Rhinolophus ferrumequinum: one gene and its partner. The protein of the gene in region 1 purifies or fractionates together with the protein of each later gene. This does not show direct contact. Links are inferred from orthologs where the notes say so. Each region holds a gene or a part of one and is shown on either strand. Other genes may lie near its edges. The genes, in order: ETAA1 and RPA2.

Region 1 (16,537 bases):
CTTTAACAAACCACTGAAGAGTAAGCATTGATTGTAAACCTCCATAACAGCATTGCACCAAGAAGCCAGCATAGAACATGGGCCCTGCCGTCTAGGGCCAGGGTGGACAAACGACTGCCCATGGACCAAATGTAGCCTGCCTGGGGTCTGTTGTTATACAGCTCTCTACTTAAATGGTTTTTACACTTTTAAAGAGTAAACAACGCAAAAGAGAATACGCAACAGAGACAGTTTGTGGCCTGCAAAGCCTAATATATTTACCATGTGGCCTTTTACAGAATTTTGCCAACCTCTGGTCTAGAAGGTCACAACATTGTCAGGAAAAGGAGATGTGTGTATGATCAATGTTAATTGATGAGAGACACAGAACTACATAATCAAGGTCTAGGGTATATTGAATGGACTGAAGGTAAGGTAGGGTTTCAGAGAAAGAGACACTAATCATTGTGAGCCAAAATTATTAGGGGAAGTCCCTGCAGAGGATTGCCTCTGGAATGTTCCTGGGCTCACAAATGACCTGGGGATCTTGTAACCGTGCAGATTCCGATTCAGCACATCTAGGACAGGCTTCAGGTTCTGCATTTCTGACAAGCGCCCAGGCGATACCCAGGTTGTTCCTCCACACACAACATTTTGAGTAGCAAGGACTCAGAGGACAGGGAGGATTTCAAAATGTGACGAGTAGTAAAGGGGCTGTCCATTGATGCACTTAGAAGCCATGGTAACAGGCTTAGGAAAATAATTCAACAGCAGAATAAAGATACCTGTGTTTTTCATATATTTCTTGCCAATGAGAAGACAACCCCCACGGCCCAGTTTTCCCCAACACTGTTACCCAGATTATTGATACTAGACCAAAGCCAAAAGAGTTCTTTACCTTCAAATGAAATACACTAATCATTTTTTTCCAATAGTCTGAAAGACATGAAAAGCCTTGTTGAAAGGAAAATTTTCTTATGCTAGGAACTAAATTAATATGAGCAGAGTTAGTTTTATAATATAGATTTTGCAATTTCTCTCCTATTCATTTTTTACATTCAAATTGATCTAAAATGTTATTTAAAACTTTAATATGTTTTAAATGCTGTAATTTCATCCCTAAACAATCAAAAGCCATTTTCAGCTCTGGCCAGAGTATTCTGTATAAATAACCACTCACCAAAAGAACCATTTGTATCTAGGACAATGCAAGCATCCTTAAGCATGCATTTGGCTAAGCTAACCTAAATACAATTAACAGCTGTAAAAATTTTAAGACTTTATTTTTACTACAACATAAAGAAATTTGTGATAGCCTCAGGTACAGTGGAGCAGTGTTTGAAGTTAAAATTGTGGCGACAAAGTAAATGATACAGATACTGCTGCTTGAAGAAGAGTCAAGGGTGATCTTTAAAATCAGGCTGTCTTCCTGGTATTCAAAAAAGCAAAAACACATAGATGATGACTAGATTCCATTACAGCCAGGAAAAAGAAAGTTATTCACCCCGAATCAGACATTTTGGGGTTGCTCTGAGTCTCCCCCCAAAGTTTCATTTAAAGCAGTAGAGAAAAATGTCTTTGCAAATTACTTCCATGACCCCCACAGCCATTAATCCTGGGTAGATACTGGCCTGATGGGGGTTGATACACGAAATGATCAGAGGGGTTGAATTAAATTAGTGGTACTGCTGAGTGGTACCTGCAGAAAGCACAGTGTGCCAAAACACATGCTCCACTTCAGAACTGAGTTAACCTGCTTTTCTTCCTTCTTACTACCAACATCTGCTCAAATCATTTACAAGTAAGTGTGATTTTGACAAAATTTACAATAATCATCTTGTCCTTAAGAATGGCTTTGGCATCATGCTTTGCAAACAGCATTTCAAATAAAAGCATTTTGCAGCTGACATTTCTCTGTTCCCAATTTGTGCCTTCCAATAAACACTGAGAAACAATTAGATTAAAATCATATATGGTGATGGAAGGAGAACTGATTTGAATGGTGAGCACACAATGTGATATATGGATGATGTATTATAGAAATGCACACTTGAAAACTATGTAATTTTACTAAAACCACTGTCACCCCAATACATTTAATTAAAAAGATATATAATCCTTGATCCCAAGCTTTGTTTTAGTTCAGCTTTTGTGGATATAAGGAATACAGACTAACCTGCATTAGCTAACTCAAGGAAAGGAAGTTTACTGCAAAGGGTCTGCATTGAAAGAGAAAAGGAAATGACTGAAATTACAGTAGAATCTGGCCTTAGGGGCATGGAGCTGAATGGTTGGCTCAGTTTCCAGGTGTGTGGAATCTATAGATGTTAATTCCAATGGCCCTGGCAGTGTAACACTGCTGCTTCTGTCTATTCCAGTATTAGCAGTCTTTCTTGTAATTTCTGGCCCCCCATGGTTTTGCACACAGCCCTCTAGCAAATTCTTCAGATCTCCAAGAGGAAATGATTGTCTCCATGTCTCTTTTTGTGAGTCAGCAGTAGAGAGCCAGCCTATAGAGTGGTACCCAAAGTCAGCTGTCCACCTCTAGTCCATTCAGATTCATCTGCTTGGGGTCACCTGGTAGGACCAAAATCAGTCAGGCAGCAGAGGCTCTTGATGAAGTTCCCTCAGAAGAGGGATAGGCATGGTAGGTGATTTTAATTACAATTGCTGGTAGGTCAGGACAGAGGAAAAATGGGCCCAGTACTTAACCAAGTACATTTTGGAGTATATTTTAGAAACAGAGTAACAAGATTGTAAAAAAATGATCTACTCATTTTGTTGCCTGTTCAGATACTGCCACTTGTATCCTGATAGACTTGGAGCTGGGGCAGGGCTCTATACACAAACTGTGCTACATAATAACACATTATGATTTTTGTTATTTTTTTTTTCATGAAACAAAAACTTCTCACAATTAGTCCAGCAAATAGTATCATTGTAATGTAAGTGACAAGGCAATAACCCCACAAAAAAAGCTACTTAACAACAAACTCTCAATGTCTCAATTTTTTGTTTAATAAACACTGTCAAGTTTATGGATAATTTCTGCAACTAAAAAAGTGAGAGTTTAGAGGAGATCCAAGATGGCAGAGTAGATAAACGCTGTGCTTGCTTCATCCCATGAACACATCAAAATTACAACTAAATTATAAACCAATCAGCCTGAAGAACCATCTAAAGTCTAGCTGAACAGAAGTATCATAACTATGAAGAAGACACCTAAAGACTAGTAGGAGGGGAGGGGATGTGAAATGGGGTTGATCCCACACCTACATTTGGCGGTTCAAAATTGGAAGCGATATCCCACAGAGGTTCCCCATGAAGGAGTGAGGGACCCCAGACTGCCACACCAGGCTCCCTAGAATAGATTACTGACAAAGGGAAGGAGAGCCCCCACAACAACTGGTTGTGAAAAACAGTGGGGATTCTGACCATCTGGATGGGATGAAAGACAGGGGGAAACCCAGACATCCTCTTAACGGGCCCGGGCAGGCACTCACCCTGGACTCTGGCAGAGGGACAGTGACTCTGGGGGCGTCGGAGACATGGGGAGAGACTGAGTTGTGTAACTTTGGGGCAAGGACTGGAAGGACAGTCCCCATTTTCCCTGAGTGGGGCGCTCCTCTCATACAGTCGGCAGGCAGAAGCCATCTTTCCTGTATTGAGTCCGCCCCCACAGGCCAAATCTGAATCTAATTGACCTGATGAGCTCTGCTGCTCCCTGCTGCTAATTCACTGAGATCCTGCCTCTCCCAATTTGCATACATCATGAGGCTTTATCAGTGATTGAAACTTACCAGAGCCTGCAGGGGACAGCAGGCCTAGGAGTGTCCTGGCTTTTTGCACAGCTACCCCAGGCCTGGTACTGGTGGCAGCTGTCCTCGATTCGCAGCATGGCCTCTCCCACATAACTCCAGGTACAGCACAGGCAGCGAACAACAGACAATTACTTTGTAGCTCCTACCAGGTAGTCACAGGCACTGGGTGACCTGGGCCTTCCCTGGAGCCCCTCCCAAGAGGCCCCAGAAACAACATACTTGGAGGTTGGCTTCAACCACAGCAGAGCACCACCCAATTAGCCCCACAAGCAGCATATAAAAAGGATGGTACCAACAGATGGCAGAGCCTGGTAGGACGATTATCACTCAGCGAGTTAAGCCCCCTGCACAGCAGCCTATAAGCTGTGGACATGGCGAAACCCTATAGCCAGTCAGCTTGAAGGTTAATACCAAACACTGGCATGCCAACAGCAACCAAGGTTCAACTATACTGTGTTTCCCCAAAAATAAGACCTAGCCGGACCATCAGCTCTAATGCATCTTTTGGAGCAAAAATTAATATAAGACCCAGTCTTATTTTACTATAATATTAAGACTGGGTCTTATATAAGATTGGGTCTTATTTTACTATAAGACCAGGTTTTATATAATTTATAATATAATACAATATAATGTAATATAATACCTGGTCTTATTTTACTATAAGACTTATATAAGACCGGGTCTTATATTAGTTTTTGCTCCAAAGGACGCATTAGAGCTGATGGTCTGGCTAGGTCTTATTTTCAGGGAAACACAGTAACAGGAAGGCACACACAACCCACAAGGGACATTTCTAGAGCACCTAGTGCAGGTGAACAAGGAGACTGTGCCACTGGGCCCGACAGGACACCTACTACATAAGGCCACCAGGCCAAGACTGGGGCACACAGTAGATCTACCTAATACATAGAAACAAAGAGAGGCAGCCAAAATGAGGAAACAAAGAAATCCATCCCAAATGAAAGAATGGGAGAAAACTTCAGAAAAAGAACTAAAGAAAATGGAGGTAAGCTACCTACCAGAGACAGAGTTCAAAACATTGGTTATAAGGATGCTCAAGGAGCTTAGTGAGAACTTCAACAAAGAGATAGCACACATTAAAAAGGACATAGAAACCATAAAAAAGAACCAGTCAGAAGTGAAGAATACAATAACTGAAATGAAGAATGCACTAGAAGGAATCACCATCATCCATATGTTCATTGCAGCATTATTTACAATGGCCAAGATATGGAGGCAGCCTGGGTATCCATCAATGGAAGAATGGATAAAGAGGAGGTGGTACATATATACAATGGAATATTGCTTGGTCATGGAAGAGAATGGGTTCTGGCCATCTATGGAGGCATGGATGGACCTGGAGGGTATTGTGCTGAGTGAAATGTCAGAGAAAGACAAATGCAATGTGATTTTGCTTATATGTAGAATCTGAAGAATAAAATTAATAAATGAAACAGAAATAGACTCAGACACAGAAAACATTTTGATGGTTGGCAGACTGGGGGGTGGGGGCAGTTGACAGGGTGGGTGAAAAAAGGGAAGGGATTAAGAAACATAAATTGGTTGTTACAAAGTAGTCATGGAGATGTAGGGTATAGCATAAGGATTATAGTCAATATTGTAATAACTATGTATGGTGCCAGGTGGGTACTTAAACTAGTCACTAGGAATCACTTCTTAAATTATATAAATGTCTAACCATAAGCTGTACACCTGAAATTAATATAAAATATTTCAGTCAACTGTAACTGAAAAATTTAAAAAGGGGGCAAAGGTGATGGGCAATATGTTGTCTAAATTTCCGGGTATACAACTAGTTAAGTCATGGGGCTGTAATGTACAGCGTGGGAAATACAGTCAATAATATTGTGATAGCATAGTACAGTGTCAGATGGTTGCTGGACTTATGATGGTGATCACTTCTTTAGGTATATAAATGTTGAATAACTATTATGTACACCTGAAACTAATATAATATTGTATGCTAACTATAGTTTTAATAAAAATCTTTTTAAAAGAAATAAGAGTTTAACTTTGGTTTATTAAAAATAGTTCATTGTATTAAACCTTACTTAAGCGTATATGTACATATTATTCAAATGCCTAGAAATGCTAAGTTTTGGCATTTTTAATCATATTGCATTTAAATGTCTATAAGGCTTATCTTTTGTTTATTAAGAACATTTTATCAATGAGTTTTTTTGTACTGTACTTATTCAGGAGTTATGCTCAGGAAGTACATTTAATTTGAATTACATTAGAACTGTAACAGATTGTTTGAATTAAGCAATATTTAAGCTAAAACTTATGACAGTTTCCTATCACATAATGATTACAATTACAGCCATCCTGGATAGGCTAAAGTAAAAACACACGTCTGTTCTTTGGGCTCGAGTTATTCCTTTTTACAATGGTTACCTGGGTACTACAGAATTTGGATAGTTATGGGAAATTATTGACTGTTATTTCATTTGCAGTATTAATATGATTTAAAGGATTACCACATGGTTATTACTCCTATAGGAATTAGGAAATTCTTCAAACTTCTTTAACTACTTTCTAAGTGTAAGTTGGGAATTTTTCAGAGTAAGTTAAGTCTTTGAGACCACCATGATGCCATCTATTTAATAAAACGTTGTAGTGGACATTCGAGGTTTTTTTTTTTTCCTGCCTCTGGGATTCTTGGTCAGTTGAGAGGTAGAAGAAATCCCCAAGAGAAATAACAGTATACCTATCCATTTATATTAATTAGGCAACTAGAAGTTCAAGTAGTTAATTTGAATTTTCAGAGATGTAATTTCCCAAGCAGTCATATCTAGTTATAAATATATAAAACTAGAATAATGGTTTAAAAATATGTAAAAGTAATCATGGCAAGGAAAATAGGAGAAAGTCAAGGACTGAGGAAAAAGGATGACATTATTTGGTCACGATGGTTGGCATAATTGTTAGAACTGAACCTCAAGTTTAGTTCTAGGATTCCTGGTAGCCAAACTGAAGAATAAAAACAGGAAATTACAAAGAAGAAATATATGTCAGTTCCTCATGGAAACAAAAATTTTGCCTTACATTAAAATTTTAAAACATTTTTATTGATAAATATAACATATATACAGAAAAGTACACAAAACAACATGTTCAGCTCAATGAATTATCACAAATCCAAAACTAAAACAAGACAATGAACAAAACCAACACATCCCTCCCTCTCCTTTTAATGATGGTCCATTCTCTCCTCCACAAAGTAATCATTATCCTGACTTTTATGGTAACCACTCCTGGATGGTTCTTTATAATTTTATCACTTAAGCTTACATTTTTATACAATATAGTTTAATTTTGCCTCTTGAAATTTATATAAATGGAATTATATAGTATTCTGGGGAAGGAAGTGGTGGAGTCTGGCCTGTTTGCTCAACTTTATGAGATTTTGCCACATTGTTGTAAAGAGTTGTAGTTTGCGTTTTCATTACTATGTAGCATTTTGTTGAGCAAACATAGCTCAATATATTTACCCACTATACTGTTGAAGAGGCTTTGGTTTGCTTCCAGTTTGGGGTAATTTTGAATTTTACTGCTTAAAGCATTTTTATAAAATGTATCTTGATCCACACGTACCTAGATTTTTCCATTGTTTATAGTCCTAGGAGTGGGATTGCTAGATCAAGAACTGGTTTCCAAAGTGGCTGTACCAAGGTATACTCTCACCAACAGTATGTTACAGTTCCCATTGTGGGGTCCTCTGGTTATCCATCTCCCACAGGCTTCAGTCAAGGCTGGGGCTGTGCTCTCATGTCTTGTCTGGTTTATTTCCTTGATACCAGTATTGTATCTTGTCAATTTTAGCCATTCTGCTGGTTGCAGAGGTTAAAATCACATTGTGGTTTTAATTTTCATTCTTTTCTTTACAAATGTGGTTGAGCACCTTTCTACAAGTTTGTTGATTATTTAGATTTTCTTTTGGAGAGCCTGCTACAGTATCTGACCCATTCTTCTTATTGGTGGTCAATCATTTTCTTAATAACATATCAATTCTTCATATATTTCACATATAGGGCCTTAATTTTATCTCTTATACATATCTTCTCCCAGTCTGTACTTCGCTTTTCATTTATTTTCTTTAATGTTGTCTTTGGATAGACAGAAGATCTCAAGTTATCAATTTAATGTAGTCAAATTTATAATTATTTTCTTTATAGTTGGTGACCTTTTTGGTCAATTTAAAATTCATTCTGTCATAAAGACAATTTACATCAACTTCTAGAATGTTAATTATTTTATCATTTACAATTAAATATATAATCAATTGGCACTTGATTTTGGGATACGGTATGAGGTATTGGTTAAGTTTCTGTGTGAATATCAAATTGACCAAGCCCTATTTATTATCAAAAAGTCCTTTCCCACGGCTCGGGAAGGTTGTCTTTATCTTAAATCAAGTGTCCATTTACTTAAAGGTCCATTCTAAGCTTTTTGTTGTTTCTTTCATCTATTTGTCTATCCTTTCACCATTGTTACACTGTCTTAATTACTTTATAAGTCTTGATAACTGGTAGATATCCAAGTTCATTATCCTTCAAGAGTTTCCTGGATATTTTAAGCCTTTTGCATTTCCATATACATTTTAAAATAAACTTGTCATAACACACACACACACACACACAGTCCTACTGCAATTTTGCATGGATTTTCACCGAATCTATAGATCAATTTAAGAACTGACATTGTAACAATATGGAGTCTTGCAACCTGTGAATATTATTATTATCCTTTATTTAGGTGTTCAATTTCTTTCAAAAATAGTTCATAATTGTCTTTGTAGGGGTATTGCAATCTTTGGTTAAATTTATACCTAGTTATTTGATATCTTGTATGCTATTATAAATTGTGTTTCTTTAAGAAGTCAATATGTTATAAATCAATTGAAACACAATTGATCTTTGAATATTAACTTTGCATCAGCTACTGTTAATTGATGAATTTAATAATTTGTCCTACATTTTTTGGATTTTTCTATGCACATATCATCTATGAAAAAATATTTTTTGCTTCCTTCCTAACTTATACTTTTATTTCCTTTTCTTTAACATACTAAAACCCACAGTAATCTGAACGAATAATGTGTAATTCTAGTTGTAAATGCAATAAAAAGATGCCAATGGATTCAATCTTCTTTTCACCTCTCCTGCTGTCACTCTCAGTTACTATGGACACACCTGTGATCCTTACACTCCTTTTCAATGCTGATCAATCTGAGCAGAGCCCAGCAAGGTCGGAAGCAGGCTGCGGAAGCGCGCTCCCCAAGCACGCCGACCGCACCGCCCCCCGCCCGGACGCAGCCAATCAGCGGCCGCCTCTTACCAGCGCGCCATCGGCAAAAATGGCGGCGGCCGTTAACGCAGGGTCTCGCTTTTAACTCCATTGCTCTACTTCTCCCGTGCAAAATGTGAAAGGAGAAACGGCTGGTGGAGGGGGTCCTAGGCAATGAATCGGCGAAGAAAACATGGGGACAGCCCTGGTCTGATGAACACGCCGCCCAAAGCGGCGGCGGCTGACGAATGCACCTCGGTGGTGGAGCCAGGGAAGAGGCGGCTTAGGTCGGCCCGCAGATCGGGGCTCCGCGGGGTCAGAGACGGGTCTCCCGGGCCCATGCCGCAGCAAGAGCAGCCTCCAGCAGCCGCTTCGTGCAGTAAAAGTAACCCCGAGGGTGAGACGTGGGCAGCGCGGCCTTTCTGGGCTTCGGCACTGTAGCCCCACAGCCGAACTTGCAGCTGGGAAATTTGGGGTGGGAGTGGGGGTGGAGTCTGAAGGATGTTTTCTTTCTCTGGGCTTCTCCCCTCGGAGTCCAAAAGTAACCTGACACACTTCCCACGGCTTTAGTCCCCGAATTTGAGCACTGCCCTGTTAGGTTTGACCACTCACTTGTCGCCCCTGCCACAAGAATAGGCCGTGTGGGGTTTACCTGTTTTAAGGGAGGACGGCTGATTGCTAGGCTGCTCCTCCAGTTAGCAGCAGAGGCAGAGTGAGGAGAAATAATGTGATAGACCTGTTGTCTTCAGCTTATTCTTAGGGGGATTATTCCCGCTTAACCATTTTGCCCTGACTTGCTTCAGCGAAGGGACCCTGTGAAAAGCTATAGCTATATCCTCGAAGCCTCCGTGATGTCTCACTTCTTTATGAATAAACCAGAAGTTCCCATGTGTAAGGTCCCTCAAAGGAGGAAACTGAGGGTTCCGGAATATTTCATTCTGATCAATTTTTGGTGTTCCATTTTTAAAAGATTTTTAATAAATTCCAGTGGGAACTGAAACTCATTCTAAAGTTCTTTACTACAGTGTGTTCTTAAAATACGGCTTTTGTTAACTTGGCTTCACTTCACTTCCACAAAGCAACACCGGAATAAACAAAAACAAATCTCTGCAAATTTAAAACTGATACTAGATAGAACTTTCTAAGAAATGGATAACTGAATTTTTTTGAAATAATTGGTGTCAGATAAAGTTGGTGAAAGCGGACTGAACAGACTTTTACTGAAGTTTCTGTTGAGATGTTCTTGATTTTTGAAATGTATAAATTACAGGTGGTTTCCAAAGCCTCAAAGTTCCAGTGATAATGAATGGAGTGACTAGGGTATATATAGTATTATACATTCATAGAGCTACTAGAGTATCTTAAAATACTTGCTATTTACAATGTTAAATTTGTGAAGTATTACAGGGATTGTTATGTGAAACATTTCAGTTGTGGAAGTAATATCTCTGGGAGAAAAGTTTATAATTGAACTATAAAAAGTAATCGTGTCTAAGCTATTATTTAATATTGAGGTATTATGAAGTGCAACAATTTAAAATGCAACAATTGTTATTTTAATCTCATGTAGAAAGGTATGAAACACCAAAGAGAGTGCTGAAAATGGATTTATTGTCATCTACCTTCAGTTCTCCTAATGATCCAGATGGACAGACTGATATCTTTTGGGATCAAAATTCTCCGATGACAAAACAGTTAGGTAAATTGTTACTTACATTTTTATCTGGATAACGGTTTCATAAATGATTAGGATTTTACTTACAGAATTTCAGTCGGTAACATCAGAATTTTTCACAATGGATGCTTTTTGAGAATCTTATGTGATTGTCCTGCTGTGATAGGCAGGTGATCTCAGAGAGCATAGTGCTCTTAGCCATGCTCATTGTTTTCTAAGAAGTGACCGCTATTATTAAAAATCAAGTTTTTTATTTACAATTTATAGAAATGTCTTTGTTTCTTTAGGTAAAGGAAGAAGAAAACAGATTTACACCACAGATAGTGATGAGATCTCACATATTGTTAATCGAATTGCTCCTCAGGTAAATATCACTAGTTTTATAATTGATTTTAAAACTGAAAAATATGCCATTAAGTCCTTGTATAGTTCTTTACATGAAAAATGTTTTGTTTTTTACAATTCTCTTTTCTGAAAATAGAGCGGTAAGGATGACGTTTACCTCTCCTACTACTGAGATTTATGTTTTGAAAAAAGAAACAATGTAAAATTGATGATATATGTTTCCCTCAGCCTAATATTTTACTTAATTTTTTAGAGTGATGATTTTTTATTAGAGCTTTGTGTTTGTTTTGTGTTTAATATTGTTTAACAATATATGGCATGGTTTTTCAAGTTACTAAAATAATAGAATCAGATAATAAAAATTTAAACTTTTAAGTTTTATGATTGCATTGTTTACTGTTCATAGCATACCTCTTCCCCATCGAAACTGCTATGAATACTATTGACTTACAAGATCATCAAGAAAAAATTGTAAAAGCTGTACTAGATGACCCTAAACAAGTCACTTAAGCTTTCAGAACTTCAGTTCATTCAGCCATAAACTAGAATTACTTGTCTTGCTCTCTTTATTGGATTATTATGAGGATTAAATTAGATAAAAATTCTTTGTAAACTAGAGAGCACTATAAATGTAAGGTTATGTTAAAGTTAATTATGATAGTTAAATTATTTGCTGTAATAGAACCATCTGCAAAAGTTTTTCTTTATTTCATTTCTTGTACTGCTTAAGTGAAATCGAAATAATAAGTTCAAGTCAACCTTTGTTCTGAACCTCTTTCCTCTCTCTTTTCCATATTTAACAACGTTTAAATTCAGAAAACATCCAATTTTTACTTAGTGTCTTTTCTGTAGGAAGTAGAGTATTTTTCCTTGGCATGCCCATGGACAGTGACTATATCTGTATATTGATGGTAAACAGTTGATGGCACTGTCCCAAACTGTGGTTACAAGGAATCACCATAATCCAGGTGGAGGAGACAAGAAATAAGGTTTTTCTTAGGAGCTATAAAATATCCGAAATTACAACTAGCACAGTCAAAACAGCTCTGTTCCTACTAGCTCTACATTCCATGTTTGGCATGTCATACAAATTCATTTTACATATGGTTCATTAGTTAAATAGCATTTATACCATAATACTGCTTACTTCATGAGTTAACAATAGACTTCATTAATTGTGGGTTTCACATGAAAGAAGCACAATAAAATGTGTTTGGGCTGGCCAGCCTAAATAGTGATAAAAAGATAGTTGAGTGAATTATTGGACTCTTTACCTAAGTGGGCTGGAAATAATAGCTCACATGAAGAAATGGCAACAGTATGCAAGTGGTAACTTGTGTATAAGAAAAAAATACAGTGAAATTAGTTCCTTTTAAATGATACCCTTTTTAGCTGAGCACTTTTAAAACATAAATCTTTGGTAGTATCGGGGTCTTTTTAAAAGCTTTTAAAAAGTGTTCTCAGAATGACATAATCATGTTTATTTTTAGGTATGTTATCTCAAATAATTATTTAAGTCACTTGATATTTTCAGACATGGCATTTAAAAAATATGCACTTTCATTTTAATTGGACAGTCATTTTACTTGCTTCAAGGATACTTTTTATATAATGTTGTTTATTTGAAGATGGTGTACAAGGTGTGACAATTAAGTTTGCGAACTCATCCTAGAAAAAGTACTACATAGCTCATTGCTGAATATCACTATGGTCACCTTCGAAGTACTCCCGTTGGGAAGCGATGCACCAACCCCAGTGCCTAGTCCACCCCTGAAAGCAGTTTTGGAACTCTTTTCCTAGAATGGCCATCAGAGCTGTCGTCATATTACCGTTGATGTTCTGAATGGCATCAAAATGTCTTCCTTTCAATATTTCCTTTATCGTCGGGTAAAGAAAGAAGTCATTGGGGGCCAGATCAGGTGAGTAGAGAATGTGTTCCAATACAGTTATTTGTTTACTGGCTAAAAACTCCCTCACAGACAGTGCCATGTGAGCTGGTGCATTGTCGTGATGCAAGAGCCATGAATTGTTGGCAAAAAGTTCAGGTTGTCTAACTTTTTCATGCAGCCTTTTCAGTACTTCCAAATAGTAAACTTGGTTAACTGTTTGTCCAGTTGGCACAAGTTTAAAATGATTAATACCTCTGATAATCAAAAAAGGTTAGCAACATCATTGCAACAAGTTCGCGAACTTAACTGTCAGACCTCATATATTTTTTCCATCATTTTTATATAACTACACAGTGTACTCTTAGGATTAAATGAAGTAATATATTTAGGTACCTTATAAAGCATCTGGATTGCATTGTGTTATTATCAATGAAGAAATTTTTAAAATATAACACAAATAGTATAAAAAACATACAAAAGACCCATATCTATATAAAAGTGGATATATAAAGTTGTCATACTTTTATTCTCTAAAAATCGAATAAATTTAAAATTACTTGGTAAATGGATAAAAGAATCCATAATTAAATCATCTTTAAGAGTGTCATTTTCCCCAACTTCAAGGTTGTTGTTGAAATAAAAATGGAAAATATATAGTGAAAGTGAAATTATTATTTTTTTTTTTTTAGTATTTTGCAAAGCTAAAATCTAGGTTCAACTGGACATCTAAGAAAACTGCTTGTTGATCAATTAAGGACTCTAGTAAATAAACATGAACTGACATCTTTTTTTCATCATTTTGCTAGATGCTGAACTATCATAAGAATAGTCCTTGCCTTCAAGTAATTTATAATCTAGTGATAAGATTATTTGTACCTTGTGTGATAATTATGTTTATTCTAGGTACTATAAAAATACATTAGAAAATGGTTAACCTATTTGATGTGTTGGTTTGCTTTGTAACTAATGCATAAATTCATTCTTCAATATTTTGTGCGATCAAGTGACTGAAAGACATAACAAAAATATATAGGACTGAAACAGCTTTTCCCCTACCTTATTCTTCGCACCAATTCTAACCTTGTACTCATCTCTAACTCAGTCCTTACCGTAATTCTGTGTAAGCCTTTTTAATTCAGGTCAGTATGGATTGTCCAACTTTTGGAGATAAAGATTATAATGGGGATAGCAAAAATTTGAAGACAGGTGATATAGAAAGAATTCCATATGTATCTCTCTTTATTGTTAATTCTGTTGTTTTCTGCTATACGGTTTGTTTCTAATATTAATATTTATTTTTATGAATATCTTATAAGTTGATCAGTTTTCTTTTGATAAAAACGTGCTTTTTATTAAATATGCATTTGTTAAATAATCAAATTACTAAAACTACATTTTTTTGAAAATAAGGAATTCCCAATTCTGAATGTTTTCATTTCCTGAAACATAAATGCATCACTTCTTGCAACTTGTTATTACCATCTTCTAGCTTCTTATTGTTTTGGAGATTGATTAGTAGCTATCACCTTACCAGAATTGATTACTTTAGAAAATAATTCAGTGTAGTTCAAGGTTTTTTTATTCTTTTTCTTTTTTCTTTTTCTTATTTTTGTACTTTACTTTTGTACCTCTTTTTTCCACCTTCTGCCAAGGTTGAAAAACCAACAACAGACTCCATGCTGGGTGTATGGATTGGTGCAACTGCTATTCCTTGTACTCCTACTGTAGCAAAGGGAAAATCAAGAGCAAAAAGCTGCACAAAGTAAGTTCAAGCTTTTTAGCTTTTCAGATATTCAGTGAAGTAAATATTTTTAGTAATATGCTGCTTTGGTGTGCTGAATATATCAAAAGGAAATTTTTTTTCCTTAGTTTTGACAAGTAACATTTTGAACTTAAAATCATTATAACGTAGGTTTTAAAATTTTCAAGTGTTATCATGTGTTAAATAACAATTGAATGTTACAATGACTCTTAGACTTTTTCTTGGTTATAATTTTTTAAATATTTGTTTAATAGGTTTAAAACACAAACTCGAGAGGAAGAACTTATGAAATTGGCTAAGCAATTTGATAAAAATATGGAAGAGCTAGATGTGACTCAAGAGCAAAACAAGAGAAATCATGATTTTATCTACATGATTTCAGAAGCAGAGACTTTAAATAATTATAAAGATAATGTGCAGATGCAGTTATTACTTGACGTAGTTCCCGAAGTAGATAATGTTATAATGAAGAAGTCAATGAAAGAAAACACCATGGTATCTGTGGTAAATGATCAAAATAGCAGTCAGAAGTCATTTGACCAAAATGTTGAAGTAGCCCTTAATGCCATTTTTGATGGTTCTACTCAGAAATGTAGCGGACAGTTAAGCCAAGATCTGTCAGATGCTTTTTGTAACACGATTAATACTACCTTTGGAAAGAGAAGTGCTTTGAAAGAGGAGAAAATCATTACTAATGAAACTCTGGACACTGAAAAACTGCCAAATAAACCTCCAGCATCACTTTCTCGTCAAGTTGATAATTCTGGAATGACAAAATCATATGTGACTTCCTGTACCAAGGAGCCAGAAGCTTTTAATAAGCACATAGATGCATTTACTACTGGTGATTTTGAGGATGATTGGGAAAACTTACTAAGTAATGAACCTTTTGTTATGCAAAATGTAGAAATGTCTGAACCTCTCCCTGTTCCTAAAACAGCCCAGATGACTGATCAAAAGGGAATTTGTACCCTTAACGGTAAAAACGATCAAGGTAACTCACGAACAAATATAAGTCTAGATGTTAGGTTAAGAGATTCAAAAATTTTACAAGATCGTTCTTCAAAGACACATAACAGTGAATTAATAGATGCTGGAAAATACAGATTTTCACCAAATTCAAATGGTAAACCAAACAAATTACCATCCATTGGAAATAAAATGAAATTTGAGAACTCTTTCAGTAAACTCATTCAAGACAAAACTCAAGATTATGCCGTTGCATCTAATCTGACAGAACTAAAGGAAGACATTCATACTAAATTTATTTTTAATGTAAATGCTTCTGGAGAAAAGTCTCCTTTGAACACAGGATATTCCAATGAACAAAAAAATAAATCTATTTTTAATCAGCCTTTTAAAACGTCTGCTAATACAGTTTCTTTTGGCTCTGCTGCTTTGGACAATGCAAATCAGACTAATGCATCAAAGTTAGATTCTTTCTCTGATGATTGGAGTGACCCATCATTTGCCAGTGAAATTGTTAAAGCGTGTCATCAATTAGAGAATACCTGGGAAGCAGATGATGTAGATGATGATTTATTATACCAAGCATGTGATGATATTGAAAGACTAACTCAGCAACAAGACATTAGAAAGGACAGCAAGACATCAGAAAGTATACTTGAGATTAATAATAATTCCAAACATGGAGCCAAAAACATGTTCACTAAATCTGAACAAAGAAGTCAGTTGGTGCAATCAACACATTTGAATCTGAGCAATATTTCAGCACAAACGTCTTCGTTGACAA
Region 2 (16,536 bases), on another chromosome or scaffold:
GAGATTAATCATAAAATTCCTTTTGGCCGGACAAATGGAGCAGATCTGATAGATAAGATCTGATTTGCTAATTCCTTTAGGATGGGCAAGCAGAACAAACCTGGTAGACGAATTTCATTAGAAGGCGCCAGTTCCCTTCTTCAAACAGTTCCCTTCTCCAAACAGCTCCCCTTCCCCAAACAGGCAAGGGAAGGTATAAAAATAAGAGCTTTTGCTTCAGTCACGGGCACCCCCCATTCGGGACCCTCTCCCGCTCTGGAGCTGCAACCTCTTCTCCTGCTTCTAATAAAGTATCTTCTTTTTTAAAACTTTTTGCCTCTCCCTGGTCCGTGTTTCCATTCTTCGGCTTCACGAGACACGATCCTGGCCCGCACTCAGAAACTGCTGGCAGATCCAACATCACCTACATCAACTAGACTAGAAATTGGAACAAGGGGGCAAGTTCTGAAGGGGTTTAGATGTTCCTTGTATACCCATCGAGGGGTGCTAGAGTCCCACTCTGCTTTTGGCTGGATGTGGCAGCTTCTTTTAAATACCTCAGCGTTTTGGTCAGTGTCCCCAGAAGGCCCTCATCACCATCACCATCACCATCACCACCACTAACACGTAAGTTATGTCTGTGCAAGTAGAAAAAGGCACGCCTCTAGGCCTTTGTGTGAATTAGAAAAAGGTGCCTCCATCCCAGATACACATCTGGGGCTCAGAGTGGAGTTGGGGGCGGATTTCAGCCCCCACTCAGCCCTCTGCCAGGAGCTTACTACCTAAATGACAGTGGCTTCTTCCTGGGCCCAGCCTGACCTTCTGGACCCATCTGTGCTGGGTTTACTGGAAGAGGTGAGGCAGAGAAATCTGAATGGTTGGGACTTTGGCTCCTTAAGTACAAAACAGTCCCTCTTCAAATTGCCCACAGCATTTCTTCGACTCGTGGCAATTATAATCTCCGGACAATCCCCACACTCTTAGAGAAAAGCACTTTGTATAAAAGCTGTAAGAGGCCAGCATTCTTCATGATTTTGCTGTAGCTCTTTCAGTCCTGTCACCTGAGCAGTGCATATGAAACAAACCCCCTGGTAGCAAAGCACAGGGCAGTGTGGGGACAGCCCTCAAGTGCTCGTGACCTTTGTCCATTCCTGGCCTCAGAGCGTCTGGGAAGCCAGGTTGCAGCTATGGTTGGCCTGGGGTTCAAGTCCACAGAGGGCTTAGTCCAAGAAGGTCATGAATGGGGCCACAACAGAATCCATGAATGTCGACATCTAGTCCAGTCACTCTAAGGCGAAGACACATTGATGTTTTGCTTTCGTTCATTCACACATTCATTTAACAAATATTTATGAAGCGACCTCTGTGAGCCAGTTACTGTGCCAGGTGCTGGCAATACAATGGTGAACAAAAATAGAGTTTAGTGAGAGAAATAGGCTTTAGTAAGATTCATACAGATAAATGTAAAATTATGACTGTGCTAGTGCCAGTTTGGAAGCAATTCTAAGGACCTTGAACTTTTTCCTATTGCTCATGGGGAACCACTGAAAGCTTTGGAGCAAGGGAGTGAAAAGATCTTAGAATAATTACTTGAATTTTCCATTTGCAGCAGCAGTGACTGCTCCAAAAGAATGAATATCTAGTGATGAAATCTGAGAAGGCTCAAATTATACCACATATTCTGTGTCTTCTCTAAGCTGGACTGTTTTTAATGGTTGATCCTTAAAGATCCCAGAGAGAAAATCTGAAGCTGGCCACAATGAAAACTCAGCATGGCCATATATGAACTGAAGAAGTCTGCTTCTGCTTTTGAATTCAGGAACTCCTATTTCTCTTTGTCACCTAGATTCAAAACTAGAGTCAGTTCAGAGTTAGTGTAGCTCTTGGCAATTAATAGGCACTAAATATATTTGTTAAACAAATGTAGGTGGAGTAAACAAAACTGACAGGATGAATAAAAAATTAACAAAGACATCTTCAACCTTTCGCTTTCCTTTGACTTCTGTTTTCTTTGTCCCTCTCTTTCCCACTCCCTCTGCCTTGGTCCAGGCCCACATCATCGCAACCTTGATTGTTCCTCCAGCGTCCTGATAGATCACCGTCTCCAGTCCTGGGCAGTCTCTGGCCTGTGCACACTCCCTCCCTCTGGAAGTGATCACGTAACTCGCCTGCTCCCAAACCTTCAGTGGCTCCCCATCGTCGTGGGGAAAAGTCCAGAGTTCTTAGCATGATATCCAGATTGGGCAGTGTCACCTCTTTGTGGGGTATCTCTCTTACCATCTGTCCTCCCAGGCACCTTTCCTCTTCCTGGGGACCTCTTTATAATTGTAAATATTTTTGAGAAAAGTGAGTATATATAAGCCCTTATTACTCCCTCTGTTAGCTTGATGGGACAACAGCACCAAAGTACTGAGTATTTGGGAGTAAAGATGTGCTGACACGGGTGAGGAGATGGGCAAAAAAAGACACAGGGAAGGAAGGACAACGCATCATAGTTAAGAGCTGGACTCGGGAGTCACATCGAGCTGGCTTCAGTCGGGGTCCTCTCTTTACCAGCTCTGTGACCTCAGACTCATTACTCAGTCTCACCCATACTGGCCAAGCACACTGGTGCATCACTGAAAGGTTACAGGAGCAAGGAAATATTCATCCATAACTCAGTCAGGCAGGCTGGGCTTAGGCAGCCAGAGACCCCAATCTGACCCCTCTGAAAGGTGACGAACCTTGGTTTCACTGGGATTGGAGGGGTTCCCAGGACAAAGGACTTTCAATTTTAAAACTGGGAAAGTCCTGATTCCAGTGCTCACCCTGCACCTTTGGCTCCTGTCAGCCTCATGTGCTTAATCCAGTGTGCCATACAAGCATTATTTTCTACATGTGCTTATGAATTGGAGAAGGTTGGGAAGCTCAGTTTCCTCATCTGGAAAATGGGATGACAATAGTGCTTACCTCATTTGGTTGTTGTGAAGATGAAGTGAATAAAGCAGGACTTTTCGATCCTGCCCTCTTGACCTGGAGGCATGCCCAGATCCTATCTATGTCTTTACCAATCGAATGCCCTTTGCTCCAAGGTATTCAAAACACTATCCACAATTTACCTGTCAGTGTAACAAATGTAAGGTATAGCAACATGCTGTGTTAAATTGGAAAAATAAATACAAACTCCTAACCTTAAAAAATAAATGTTTTCCTTGCTGAGTGACTACTAAGAAAGCTCGAAGAGCAGCAGGGCCCTGCCCACGGACAACTCTCAGAGGCTCACGTGTATCGTTCTCCGAAGGAGGGGCGCTGAATTCAAGTCTTGGGAAAAGAAAAAAAATTAAGCTGATGGGAGTCGAACGTCCTCAGGTTACCAGGAAGCCAGAAGGCTTTAAAAAACATCCACAGTGCTGATAGGACAAAGGAACCAACCTCTCACTGGCCAAGATGTGACAACTGCAGCATCAATAATAGCATGATAATTATTTTATTGTTGTCATTGTTATAGTTACTGGAACAAGTAGAATCTGTGAAAGGCCATGAGTTAATGATGACAATCCAAATAGAAAAAGCACAGAAAGGTAGTTGAAACACACAAGAATGGTGACTTTATAAGACATGTTTAACTTTTTTTTGTTTTAATAAGTAATGTTAACACATACAGGTGCTTTGCTTCTTTGATTGATTAGATGTCTTTTTACAAAGTATACATTCATACTTGTTCCCACCTGGGTAAGGAAGCAACTCATAGACCTGTGAGAAGTCAAATAGTGCTGGCCCAGGGGAACTGTGGGTAGAAAAAGAAGGGCTGATGGGCTGGGCTGTTCACACACAGTAACCAAGTGGGAGGTAAGGAGAACAGGGAGCTCCAAGAACTAATTAGCCAACCATCCTAGAGTCCTGTTAACTCCACAGATTCTATTCCTCCTCTTGTAGGAAGTGAAACCTTCAGGTAACCCTATGAATATAACAAAATAACGTATTTTCGAACTTGCAAAAGTTCCCATCAATATATCCAACAGGACAACAGGTTATATAATGCTGACAAGTGATACCGAAAGCCCATGACTTTGAGGAAAGACATTAGGTTGCAAAAAATTAAAACCTATGAGAAATGTGTGACTTAAAAAGTCTTACAAACATTACAAAGGGAAGCTCAGCTTGGTAATCTGTGGCTTGGTGACAGTCCCCTTGGACCACACAATCGAGTCTTGAGTCCTGACCAAAAATCAATGGATTGAAGACCCAGATCCAATGACGTCAAGTGAACTAAGATGACATTCCTTTTTCTTTTCAGTCTGATTAGATTTTTGAAAACCCAGAAAGGAATAAAAATAATATCACAGAACCCCTGGGACGATAACAACATAAATAAAGCCATGATCCATGGAGGCAGGGACAGAAGGCTCCAGATTTTGTGGAGCCTGAAGCTTATACAATTTGTGTGGCCCTATTTAAGAAAAAGAATGCAAAGTAAAGTATAAAAATAAATATGTATCTAGACAAAAGAAGGGGCCTTGGAAGACGCTGGGAAAGTGAGGGGCCCTGAATCTTAAAAGTCATTAGCTAATGACTTAAAAAAAAACTATAATTTTTGTGTTTTGTCTGTTCTTTAAGATATTTGAAGTATTCATAAGAATTGGCCATACTAAAACTTTAACTGCAGTTTAAAATTTTAAGGATATTTAATAAAGTTTGTAAACAATTTTTAAATACCAAAAAGATTGATTTCAAGTTTTATTAGCTATAAGTTTAATAAAATGAGCATTAAACAAATAATTGTGGGTGTTCTGCCACATATAAAGCCTCTCTGATACTAAAATAATTCTATCAGTATTAACCAATTCATAATTATTACTAGAAAAATAAAATCAGTACAATATAAAGCTGAAAATTGCTACTCCACCCAGTAAAATTCTTAGACAAAAAACAATTTGGAAAACCACATTTTACATATAACACTGAAAACTGCAAAAAAATCCCCTGAATCAAATTGTACTTGATAGAAATAATGAGGATCCATAAAACTACAGTGGCAGATGTGAAAAATCAGTAAAAATTAGTATGGATAAAATTTGGGTGATGAATTAAACCCTCATTGTATAGTTTGCCCAGGAAAAGATTGATCTACATAAAGATGATTTCAGCAAAATTTAAAATGGGAAAAATTAGAAATGGCTAACTCTCACTGTACAAAAAAATTGAATAGGGAATCCAATATAAATGAAATTTCATCAATGTTGGGACAGTTCTGATTAAAATGTGTGTGTTTATAAAGTGGAGGCAAATTGACCTTGGAGGTTAAAATGGCAGTCAAAAACTTTGGGAGATAATGTATATTAAGCTTTTAGAAGAGATAATGCATTCTGGCATGTATTAAGTAAACACCAAAGTGGTTAAAAAATTTTTTTCATTGTGTTAAAATACAAATAATATTTTACCGTTTTAACCATTTTTAAGTGTACAGTTCAATGGCATTAGCTACATTCATGTTGTTGGGCAACCATGACCACTATCTGTCTCCAGAACGGTCCTTCCCAAACAGAAACTCTGTGTCCATTAAACAATAACTCCCTATTCTTCCCTCTCTCCAGCATCTGGCAACCGTTGTTCTACGCTGTTCTACTTTCTGTCCCTGTAAACTTGACTTTTTTTTTTTTTTAAGATTTTTATTGGGGAAGGGGAACAGGACTTTATTGGGGAACAGTGTATACTTCCAGGCCTGTTTTCCAAGTCAAGTTGTTGTCCTTTCAATCTTAGTTGTGGAGGGTGCCATTCAGCTTCAAGTTGTTGTCCTTTCAGTCTTAGTTGTGGAGGACGCAGCTCAGCTCCAGGTCCAGTTGCCGCTGCTAGTTGCAGGGGGCACAGCCCACCATCCCTTGCAGGAGTTGAACCCGCAACCTTGTGGTTGAGAGGATGCGCTCCAACCAACTGAGCCATCCAGGAGCTCAGCGGCAGCTCAGCTCAAGGTGCCGTGTTCAATCTTAGTTGCAGGGGGCGCTGCCCACCATCCCTTGAGGGAGTCGAGGAATCAAACTGGCAACCTTGTGGTTGAGAGCCCACTGGCCCATGTGGGTATCGAACCGGCAGCCTTCCGAGTTAGGAGCATGGAGCTCTAACCGCCTGAGCCACCGGGCCGGCCCTAAATTTGACTATTTTAAGGTACCTCATATAAATGGAATCATATAATATTTGTCCTCTTATGACTGGCTTATTTCATTTGCATATCTTCAAGGTTTATCTATATTGTAGCATGTATTAGAATTTCCTTCTTTTTTAAGGCTGAATAATTCCATTGTATGTCCATCCCACATTTTGTTTATCCATTCATGTGTCAATGGATACTTGGGTTGCTTCCACCTTTTGTCTAATTCTGCCATGAACATGGGTGTATAAGCGTCTATTTTGAATAAAGCTGCCATGAACGTGGGTATACAAGCATCTATTTTGAGTCCCTGTTTCCATCTTTGGGATATATGCTGCTGGATCATATGGTGATTCTATTTCTATTGTTTGAGGAATTGCCATACTGTTTTCCATAGTCGCTGCACCATTTTACATTCTAACAGTGCACAGGGTTCCAATTTCTCCACATCCTCACCAATATTTGCTGTTATCTATTTTTTTAAAAAGCAAAAGTATCTTTATTCAATAAAGATCTACTCCAAAAGCAGAGCAGAGGTGGCCTCCGAGCAAGAGACAACCTGGTGTTTTCTATTTCTATGTAATTATGGCCATCCTAATGGGTGTGTGTCACCAGATTGGTTTTTTGGTTTTCTTTTTGTTTTTAACAGGACTTTATTGGGGAACAGTGTGTACTTCCAGGACTTTTCCAAGTCAATTTGTTGTCCTTTCAATCTTAGTTGTGGAGGGCCCAGTTCAGCTGCATCCAGTTGCTGTTGTTAGTTGCAGGGGGGCGCAGCCCACCATCCCTTGTGGGAGTCGAACTGGCAACCTTGTGATTGAGAGCCTGCACCCCAACCGAGCTATCTGGCCACCTGGGAGCGGAGCGGCAGCTCATTGACTTCATTCTAGTTGCGAAGGGCACAGCTTGCTGGCCCCTGTGGGAATCGAACCGGCAGCCCCATTGCCCAGAGCTCATGCTCTAACCAACTGAGCCACCCGTCCGCCCCACCAGATTGTTTTTAAAGGATGATTTCTCCATTTCTCAGTCTTGCTGTGGATTTCCCTGATTGTAGCCTACCTAAAGAGGGAAATGGAAGACTTCTTGGAAATTGCTATGTGACAGGAAGCTTGCAACTTGACAAAACTAAACCTTGAGAGATGAATTCACTAACACACACACACACAAACACACACACGAGTTTTTTATTTTATTTTTATTTTATTTTTATATTTTTATTATATAAAAATTATATATTATATATAATATAATATATAATTTATTATATATTTATATTTAATTTTTATTTTATTTTTATTTTAGCACTGATTGAGAACTGAGCCCTCAATTTATCAGTTTTTCAAGCTCTTGAAAAGATGTGCAAAACTCTTTGATGGTTTGTATTCTGTTATACTTTAAGACATTTTAATTTCATTTTATTTTTAAATGTATGGTCTTCACAGTTGAAGTTGAAGTTATAACTGGTTAAACCCCAAATAAGGCCAATTGACTCAAGTGAATACACATCTTGAATGTCCCAGAATAATCTTAATTTCAAACATTTTATCCTATATATCATAAATATGCCCTTACTTGTCAGAGTATGTAAGTTTCAATCACCTTAGGCTTAATATAAGAATGTCTTTTTGGTATACCTCAGGTTTTATTCCTCAGCAATGATTTGGAGGCTTACAGAATTTACAAAGTAACATCTGGCCCACAGATATCTTTTCTTTGGCCTACATAATGTTTTTTTAATAGTTGATTTGTTTAAAAACACTTATTTGTTTAAAAACACAGAAAATTTTACACAAAAATTCAAATTTCTGACATCTGCTAAAACAAATAGATGATCTGGCAACACTAGATCCATAGTCTTTATGTCAGTTGCTATTTACCATTATGCTTGTGTGGTTATTTTTCTTACTGTGGAGAAAAAAAAGTTTTTTAAATTGTCGTCTATTATCCAACCCACTACATTAGCAGTTTTCCTGCCTGACCCCAGTTGTCATCTGAGTTTGTTTAGGATGTTCAAAAAGGTATAATAACGACACTGGTTGACAAAATCAGACTTCCTGGGCTTGAATGCAGGCTCCCAAAACTTAGACTTTCTATACCTCAGTTTCCTTAACTGTAAAATGGGGACAATACACTAACCTACTTCACAGGACTGAATTAATAAATATAAAATGCTTAAGACAGTGACTGAAGTTTTAATAAATAAAAAATAAAACAGTCCAGAAGCCCAGGGACCCGGTCTACCTTAACCATTGGCCAGTACAGAGCTTAGAACAAAAGAGACATCAAATAATTTTAAATAAATGAGAAGAGTATGTCTAACACCCTATTAGTATTTACAGCAAGGAACTAACAGACATGTTCTACTCTCCATAGGAGGAGCACAACCGCATTATATGAAGAATAGTTGAAGCAACCCAGGATGCGGAGCTAGATTAGAGTCAGGACAGGTGGGATGAACCCAGTCCTCAGTTTTTGAAAGGCCATCGTGGGGAAAAGAATGTAGATTTCTTATACCTTCACTGGGAAGAATCAGGGCCACGGGGTGGCAATACAAGAAGAGAACTTGACTCTTTACGTTAAAGAATAAGCAATCCCACGAGGTGCTGCGAAACTACGTAGTACTGTGAATTACCCGTGTGCGCAAATCCCGGGCGACCGCCAGGCGGAGACATCGAACCAGGAATTGTACTATGACGTTTTAGACCAAGGCGTCTTGAAAATTTGGCGGGAAACCCCCGAATAAAGTGACGTAAGATGCCGCTTATTGATGGGGGTGGGATTATATGGTCCTGAGATGAGGAAGTATTGTTGGATTGGTTGTTTTTTTGAGATACTGCCTCATCAGCATCCAAGGATCCTTGCTTCCGCTTGCGCGAAGTGTTTTGCCCTTAGTCAACATGGCCGTGAAGGCTTCTGGCCCTACTGGGAGCGTAGTGCCTGTATTCAGTAACATGGCCAGCGAAGAACGGAAAAAGCGTAATATTAGCGAGCTTTGATTGGCTGAAGCAAGAAGACTTCTGGACACTGATTGGCTCCGTCATTCGCGGGAAGGTGTCTGTGGCGCCAGCGAAAAGTAGATACAGCGCTGGGGCCGCAGTAAGATTCTGAGGCGTCCGGCGAAGCCAGCCGACCTGAGCTTTCTGGGCCTTTTTCGAAGAAATTGTGACCATGATGTGGAATAGTAATGATGAGTGGGGCGGAGGATGAGAATCGCAACAATTTAGCAAAGAGGGCTGGGGGGTCGGAGAGGCATGTGGCGGCGGGAGGGAGGAGAGTTGGGGGAGGTGCTGGAGCCAGAGGTGGGGCCGTTTGGGGGCCTGGGAAAGGTGGTCGGGAAGATTAGGAAGATGCTGGGACTGTTTGGGGTGCGGGGATTGAGGTCTCAGGGGACCCGTGGGTTTTTCAGGAGCTTGGAAAGCAGCCCAGATACTAATACTACTGTTATTTAAAACCAGGTGGATATGAAAGCTATGGCAGCTCTACCTTTGGGGGAGCCGGCGGCTACACACAGTCCGCTGGGGGCTTTGGATCGCCGACACCTTCTCAGGCAGAAAAGAAATCAGTAAGTTGAAAGAGTATTTTATTTTATCTGTCCTAAAGCTCATAACTCATCCATGGGAGAACATTTCTGCGGCGAAGGAAGGGTATTAAACCTGAGCTGATCCGATAATTATCTATTACTATCTTATCGAGTCTTATAATTAAATGCTGTAAGTTTGAAATAGGAATCTCCCCTAATGTTGCATCCGCTATTGTTTCCTTGGCTTTATTTTGAAATTTTACCAAGATAGCTAATGAATCAGTTTTGTAGAAAAACTGAACTTGTATTAATAGCCTAATTTATGTTCTATGTTTTCCAAAGTCGTTTTTTAATTAAACGTAGTGAGGTGATTTAATGTGGTGGAAAGAGCATGGTCTTTGAAGTCAAGTCATATATAGATCTATGCTCTCTACCACTACTTGCAGGGTATCATTGGACAAATTTCTTAACTTTCTTGGAAGTCAGTTTTGCACCTACTACATGGGATTGATAATACATGCTTTACAAGGTTGTTGCGAGACTTAATATTATATATAAAGTGCTTGCCCCAAGTCCCTTTCAATAAATGGTCCTAGGTACTATTTGTGACCAAGATGTGGAATAGTAATGATGCCTGGGGTGGAGGATGAGAATCGCAACAATTTAGCAAAGAAAGCTGGGGGGGGTCAGAGTTGGGGGAGGTGCCAGAGCCAGAGGTGAACCTGAGCATTGGAGCCAGAATACATAATGTCAGGAATCACCTTTGCCTTTTAACTGGCAATGTGAGTTTAGTGTAGCAACATGAACCCTTGGTTTTGTTGGTCCTTGGGTTTTTTTCATCTGATAATGGTACTAGTATTACTTATGTCACAGGGTGGTTCTGAGAATTGATAAATAAGCTAATGTATAAGAAAGTATTCTGTAAAAAGCTGTCCAAATGCTTGTTATTTACTCTCCCCCCCCCTTTCTTCCGCCTCCCCACACGCACACACTCCGGTTCAAGCCGTAGTTTTCTAGTTCTAGTTGTGAAGGACACAGCTCCCTGGCCCATGCTGGTATTATGAGCCTGGCGCTCCCCGGGCTGAGCCACTCACAGCAGCTCTCGTTGGCCACCAGTCACTCACTCTGGCTGCTGGTCACTCATGCTGGCCACTGGCTGCTCATGGCAGCACACAGTAGCTCACAGCAGCTTACACCCACCTCTGGCTGCTCACAGCAGCCCAGCTGCAGGGAGAGCTGTCTCCAGGGAGAGCTGTTGTTCACAATCTTAGCTGTAGAGGGCGCAGCTCACTGGCCCATGTAGGAATTAAACTGGTGATCTTGGTGTTTGGAGCAGGGCACTCCAACCACCTGAGCCACCAGGACGGTCCTATTTACTCTTTCAGAAAAGAGTTTGCAATTAACAACTGTTGATTTCATTCTTTAAATACAGGATTAATTTGGCTTCTCTTTAGGTGTCATTCTGATGTGTTAAGATTCAGTATTAGCAGGTTCTGTGTTTTGTGTACAGGTTGATAAGCTTTTACATAAACTGTTAATTCAGGGGTAGGTATAGTTGGGAAAGAATCCACTGATAATTCTCATACATTTGGATATTGCTTTATACTTTTCATATAAATTATTTCATATAACCCAATAAGGTATTGTTTCCTCCATTGTACAACAGAGAGGCTCAGGGAGATTGAGATTCCCTAAGCTTACATAGTAAGTAACTGGAACCAGACAGTGCCCACAGGGCGCTGAGCAAATCCAAAATCTGGTAAGCAGCTGCTTCTCTGTTGTAGCTTTCTTTTTCCTGGGAAGACCAGAGGAGACTATAGTCTTCTTTGAGGCTGTGAAGATGAGAACAGAAGATAGATAATTCTCATCTTTTTTCCCTAAGCTTCACTATTTTTCTTCATTCCATTTGTTAGAATTTTTATCTCAGGACCCCTAGCTTGGGCTATGTACTAAGACAGCTTTTCAGAGAATGATGACAGTTATAAGCTGGAGACTCAAACTCAGGTCTTTCTGTGTTTAAAATCTAGTGCTTTTTGCACAGTAAAAGATAAATGTCCTATTTAAATGTTTCCTACTGACTATAAACCTGTTATATTTGATTGAATTCTGAAGTTTCTGATGTTTTACCTGTAAAAATGGTAGGTTCCTACAGTACTTCAGAGTACAGTACTTCACAGTAGTAGTTCATAGGCAGCTACAAAATAATTTTTTAAAAATTAAATGTAACTTGTGCCGAATCTCTTTGGAACAAACCAGGAGCTCTTTTCAATCGGTTCCTGGCACATAATAGGTGCTCATTTAAAAAAAAACAAATAACTGTAACTTGAGATGAATTTGAAGGTATTACTGACACCTCAATAATTACCCATATGTAACTTTTTTACCTGAGGAGTAATAATATTTTTTGCACCTGTGTAGAGATTGGTATTAGCACTTTTATGTATATGTTTCATTTATAACTTGAAAGGTAGATATCCTCATTTTACAGAGGAGGTAGGTGATGGTATGTCCTGGGCCGTGAAGCTGGGATTTGAACACAGGTCTATAGTACTGTCTGGCTCCAAAGCCCATGTCTTGCTGCTGTTACCATCATGGTTCTTAGCTTTCTTATGCTGAAGATACAATAAAAATCTCAGTTGTGATAGATGAAAACAAAATATAGATTCTGAGAGCTAAATCTGGGACTTTAGCAAATTTTAAATCTATAAATACTAATATAGCATATAACTTCACCTATAAAGTACCATAAAGTTAAATTGAAAAATATAGTCGATTCCTTCACATCCTTATTAAAAGCTATTGCAGATATAAAGAGTGAGGAACAATAGCTGACATAATAATTGCTAACATTTATTGAGTGTATGTGATGTACCAGGTAGTATTCCAGGTACTGCACCATACATTTCATTTTTCATAGTGATTTTATCATTCCTAGTTTTATAGATGAAACCGAGGTACAGATGAGTTGAGAAACGTAACCAAAAGCACACTGCTCCTGTGTGGTAGAGCCATAATCTTAACCCTCAAGCTTGGCTGCCGCCTGTTGTGGCATGTGTTCTGGTGGTTGGCTGGGCTTGTTTTCTACCATCCTACAAATACTCACTATTCAAAATTATGCTTCAGCAAGGTGAAATGTTGCTAGTGTCATGGGCCTTCAGGGCAAAGCTGCAACTGCTAATTCTATGAAGGCCAAGAGCCTACTATGTGCGGTCTTGTAGTAGATAGAACAATTATTGGGTTACTTCCCATTGATTTCTGACAAGAACTCTAATCTTTAACTGACCATGCTTTTCCTGTCTTGTATATAGTTTCTCTATTAGTCTGTGGGAGTGCATATTTACCTTCAGTCTGTAATGCTCATTCCTCGGCCACTTTTTTCACTGTCAAATTGTTTCTGCCTCAAGGTCTAGTCTAAATGCTCCCTCTTCTTAAAATCACCAATAAATATCTCTTGATAGCCCAGGTAGCGCTTTTCATTCTATAATGTATCAATATCAAGTTTGTTATTTATATTTTTACCTCCCCTAGTTTAGGAGTGTGTTACGGGCAAACTGTACTCATCTTTATGTTGCCCAGACAACCCCTAGCCAGTTATAGGCAAAAAGAAGAGTTTACGCTGTTGTTTGACTGCTGCAGGCTGGGATTTGAGTGTCCTCACCAGACATTCTTCTGTCCATCATATTCTGTCCCTTCCTTTTAAGATGTCTAGTGTGTTGAGAATATTATGCTAAGTGAAATAAGTGAGACAGAAAAAGTCGAGAACCATATGACTTCACTGCTATGTGGGATATAAAACTGAAAGCAACAAAGGAACAAGACAAATAAAGAAAACTCATAGACACAGACAATAGTTCAGTGGTTTCAAGGGGGTAGGGGGGATAGTATAATAGAAGAGGGTAAAGGGGGTCAAATACATGGTGATGGAAGGAGAACTGACTCTGGGTGGTGAACACACAATGTGCTATATCGGTGATATATTACGGAATTGTACACTTGAAACCTGTGTAATTTTACTAACCATTGTTACCCCAATAAATTTTAGTTAAAAAAAAAAAAAGATGTCTAGTGTGGCCAAGCCCTTATCCCATTTTCCCTAGGACTTCCAGCCAATTGTCAGAACATCCGTCCTAAAGGAAGTTATACCTCTAACTTTTTGTTACATTTTTTAATGAGATTTAGAATAACTCCATCGTTCTGTCTCCACTGGCCATTCAAATACCAGCTCATCTCATCAGTGACAAATAGCCAGTTTCAGTTTGCCTTCATCCTAAAGCTGAAGTTTCCTCTTAAAGAGCTGTTCAGGAAGCAGGCCATTCCTTATGCTGTCCCCACTCCAGTCTACTCGTTTTGGTGAATCTCTGTTACAACACAAACTTGGGGCTGGCCCGGTGGCTCAGGCGGTTGGAGCTCCGTGCTCCTAACTCCGAAGGCTGCTGGTTCAATTCCCACATGGGCCAGTGGGCTCTCAACCACAAGGTTGCCGGTTCGATTCCTCATGTCCCGCAAGGGATGGTGGGCTCCGCCCCCTGCAACTAAGATTGAACACGGCACCTTGAGCTGAGCTGCCGCTGAGCTCCCAGATGGCTCGGTTGGAGTGAGTCCTCTCAACCACAAGGTTGCCGGTTCGACTCCCACAAGTGATGGTGGGCCGCGCACCCTGCAACTAGCAACGGCAACTGGACCTGGAGCTGAACTGCGCCCCCCACAACTAAGTCTGAAAGGACAACAACTTGAAGCTGAACGCACCCTCCACAACTAAGATTGAAAGGACAACAACGTGACTTGGAAAAAAGTCCTGGAAGTACACACTGTTCCCCAATAAAGTCCTGTTCCCCTTCCCCAGTAAAATCTTTAAAAAAAAAAGAATTGAAAAAAAACCCACAAACTTACCCATTCATCAGGAGCTTTGGAGTCAAACAAACCTGGGTTTGAATTCTAAAGTGTGGCATTTGTTAGCTATATGACCTTGGTTTCCATCGCTGAAGCAAGGGTAATGAGGCTTGTTTTGCAGATCCAATGTTGCACGTAGCACGTGTTAAATGAATGGTAGTTACTATTTTCTTAATTGAATTTATGCATACTCTTTCAGAGATCCCGAGCCCATCACATTGTACCCTGTACCATATCTCAGCTTCTTTCTGCCACTCTGATTGATGAAGTGTTCAGAATTGGGAATGTTGAGATTTCACAGGTATGTAAAATAATTTGTGGAAGAGTCACTTAATCATACGAAGGATGAAATAAAAATTACTTCATTTAAAAATACATAAATGTTACAGCTATATTCAATGTCAGAGGGGTAGTAGACTGGGGGAGAGGGGCTATCACTTTGTGAGGGGTGTCAATGTCTAACTATTACATTGTTTTGTACACCTGCAACTTAAATAAATAAACAAACATAAATGTTGCTTTGGTATAGAAGAAAACCAAACTTTTTTTTTCTTCTGATCTAGGTCACTATTGTGGGGATAATCAGACATGCAGAGAAGGCTCCAACCAACATTGTTTACAAAATAGATGACATGACAGCTGCACCCATGGATGTTAGACAGTGGGTTGACACAGATGTAAGCTGTGTGGGATTTTGAATTTTGAATTAGGGTGGGGTTACTTTGGGACTTCAGAGATGGTGGACTTTTTTAGTCTTCCTTTTTAAAAGTCTTTATAAAAATAATACATAAGCAAGACAGCAAAAGCAATAACCTTGAAATGAAACGTTAATACATTTGATTTCATAGAAGTTTAAAACCTAAACTTACCAAAATACTATAAACAAAGTTAAAAGTGACAGGAAGCACTAGAATGTGAACTCAGAACAAGGATTTTTATGTTGGCACTGTATTCCCAGCACCTAGAACAGTTCCAGTTACATAGTGGGCCCTGAGTAAATATTTAAATAAAGGGGAAAATTTTTTGCAGCATATTACAAACATTTAAAATTTTTAATTAGTGAAAAGCTCTTATAAAACAACGGAAAACTCAAAAAGCAACTGCACCTTAGAAGCATGGGCAAATAAGATGCACAGATAATTCATAATAGATGAACTCTAAATTGCAGCAACAATAACAAAAGCAGGTTTAATAAAATTAAGATACCATTTTTAACTTACTAAATTAGCAAAGAAAAAAATAGAATGGCAGTGGCCACTTAGCATAAGAGCTGTAGTTAACACAGTGCTTCTAGCACTTAGTACACATTTAATTTTTTGAATGATATGTCTCTATTTGGGGAAGTAGATATTATCCTACTCTGATGGTATAAGTATAAATTGGTTTGACCTTTCTCAGAAACCAGCTGATGATCAAAATCATCTATCATAAAAATGTTGACCTCGCACGCCACTGCTAGAGATTTACATTAAGGAACTAAATACATGTGCAATAATTCAGTTGTGAGAATGTTGATCATAGCATTGTTTATAATGAAAATAAACCTAAATTCAAAATGCTGGCAATAGGGTGTTACTAATTAAACCATGGTATATTTATAGAATAAATGATATAGAAATGTATATGTTGTCACAAAGAAGTGTTGGCCATAAATTGTTGAGAGGAAGAGAGTATGTCACACAATAGTATGCATAGTATGAGTATGACCCCATTTTTTGTAAAGTAGCATGTATATGGAGAAAATAGACTGAAAGAAAATAAATTCTCTTTGTACTTTTTATTTTTTAATTGGGCAGAAGCCCTCTTGAGTTTTTTATGTTTAAAATACATTGTAGAAAGAAATAAAATACATGATAGAAAATTTGGATAATAAGCACTTGGTATGCTATTTTCACTTCAGAAACCACAAGTCATCTATGGTTATGTGTTCTTTAATTTTTGTTTCTCAGAAAAATACAGGATAATTTATTCAGTAGTCACTGTTGGAATAAGATTCTGAACCAAATTGCTTGGTTCCAGGTAT

What was found.
Region 2: the proteins of ETAA1 (region 1) and RPA2 purify together in Homo sapiens (affinity purification with western blotting; 4 studies listed by BioGRID, with this or other methods). This does not show direct contact. The link is inferred for Rhinolophus ferrumequinum from reciprocal best matches to the Homo sapiens genes ETAA1 and RPA2.

Annotation. Positions count from the first base shown.
Region 1 is NC_046296.1:22,962,512-22,979,048, reverse strand, and holds the start of ETAA1 (ewing's tumor-associated antigen 1), read left to right. Parts: upstream 1-9,184; 5' UTR 9,185-9,287; coding exon 9,288-9,510; intron 9,511-10,683; coding exon 10,684-10,812; intron 10,813-11,075; coding exon 11,076-11,152; intron 11,153-14,674; coding exon 14,675-14,784; intron 14,785-15,038; coding exon 15,039-16,537. UniProt on the Homo sapiens protein: Replication stress response protein that accumulates at DNA damage sites and promotes replication fork progression and integrity.
Region 2 is NC_046292.1:19,143,634-19,160,169, reverse strand, and holds the start of RPA2 (replication protein A 32 kDa subunit), read left to right. Parts: upstream 1-9,064; 5' UTR 9,065-9,271; coding exon 9,272-9,290; intron 9,291-9,555; coding exon 9,556-9,665; intron 9,666-14,712; coding exon 14,713-14,814; intron 14,815-15,076; coding exon 15,077-15,190; intron 15,191-16,536. UniProt on the Homo sapiens protein: As part of the heterotrimeric replication protein A complex (RPA/RP-A), binds and stabilizes single-stranded DNA intermediates that form during DNA replication or upon DNA stress.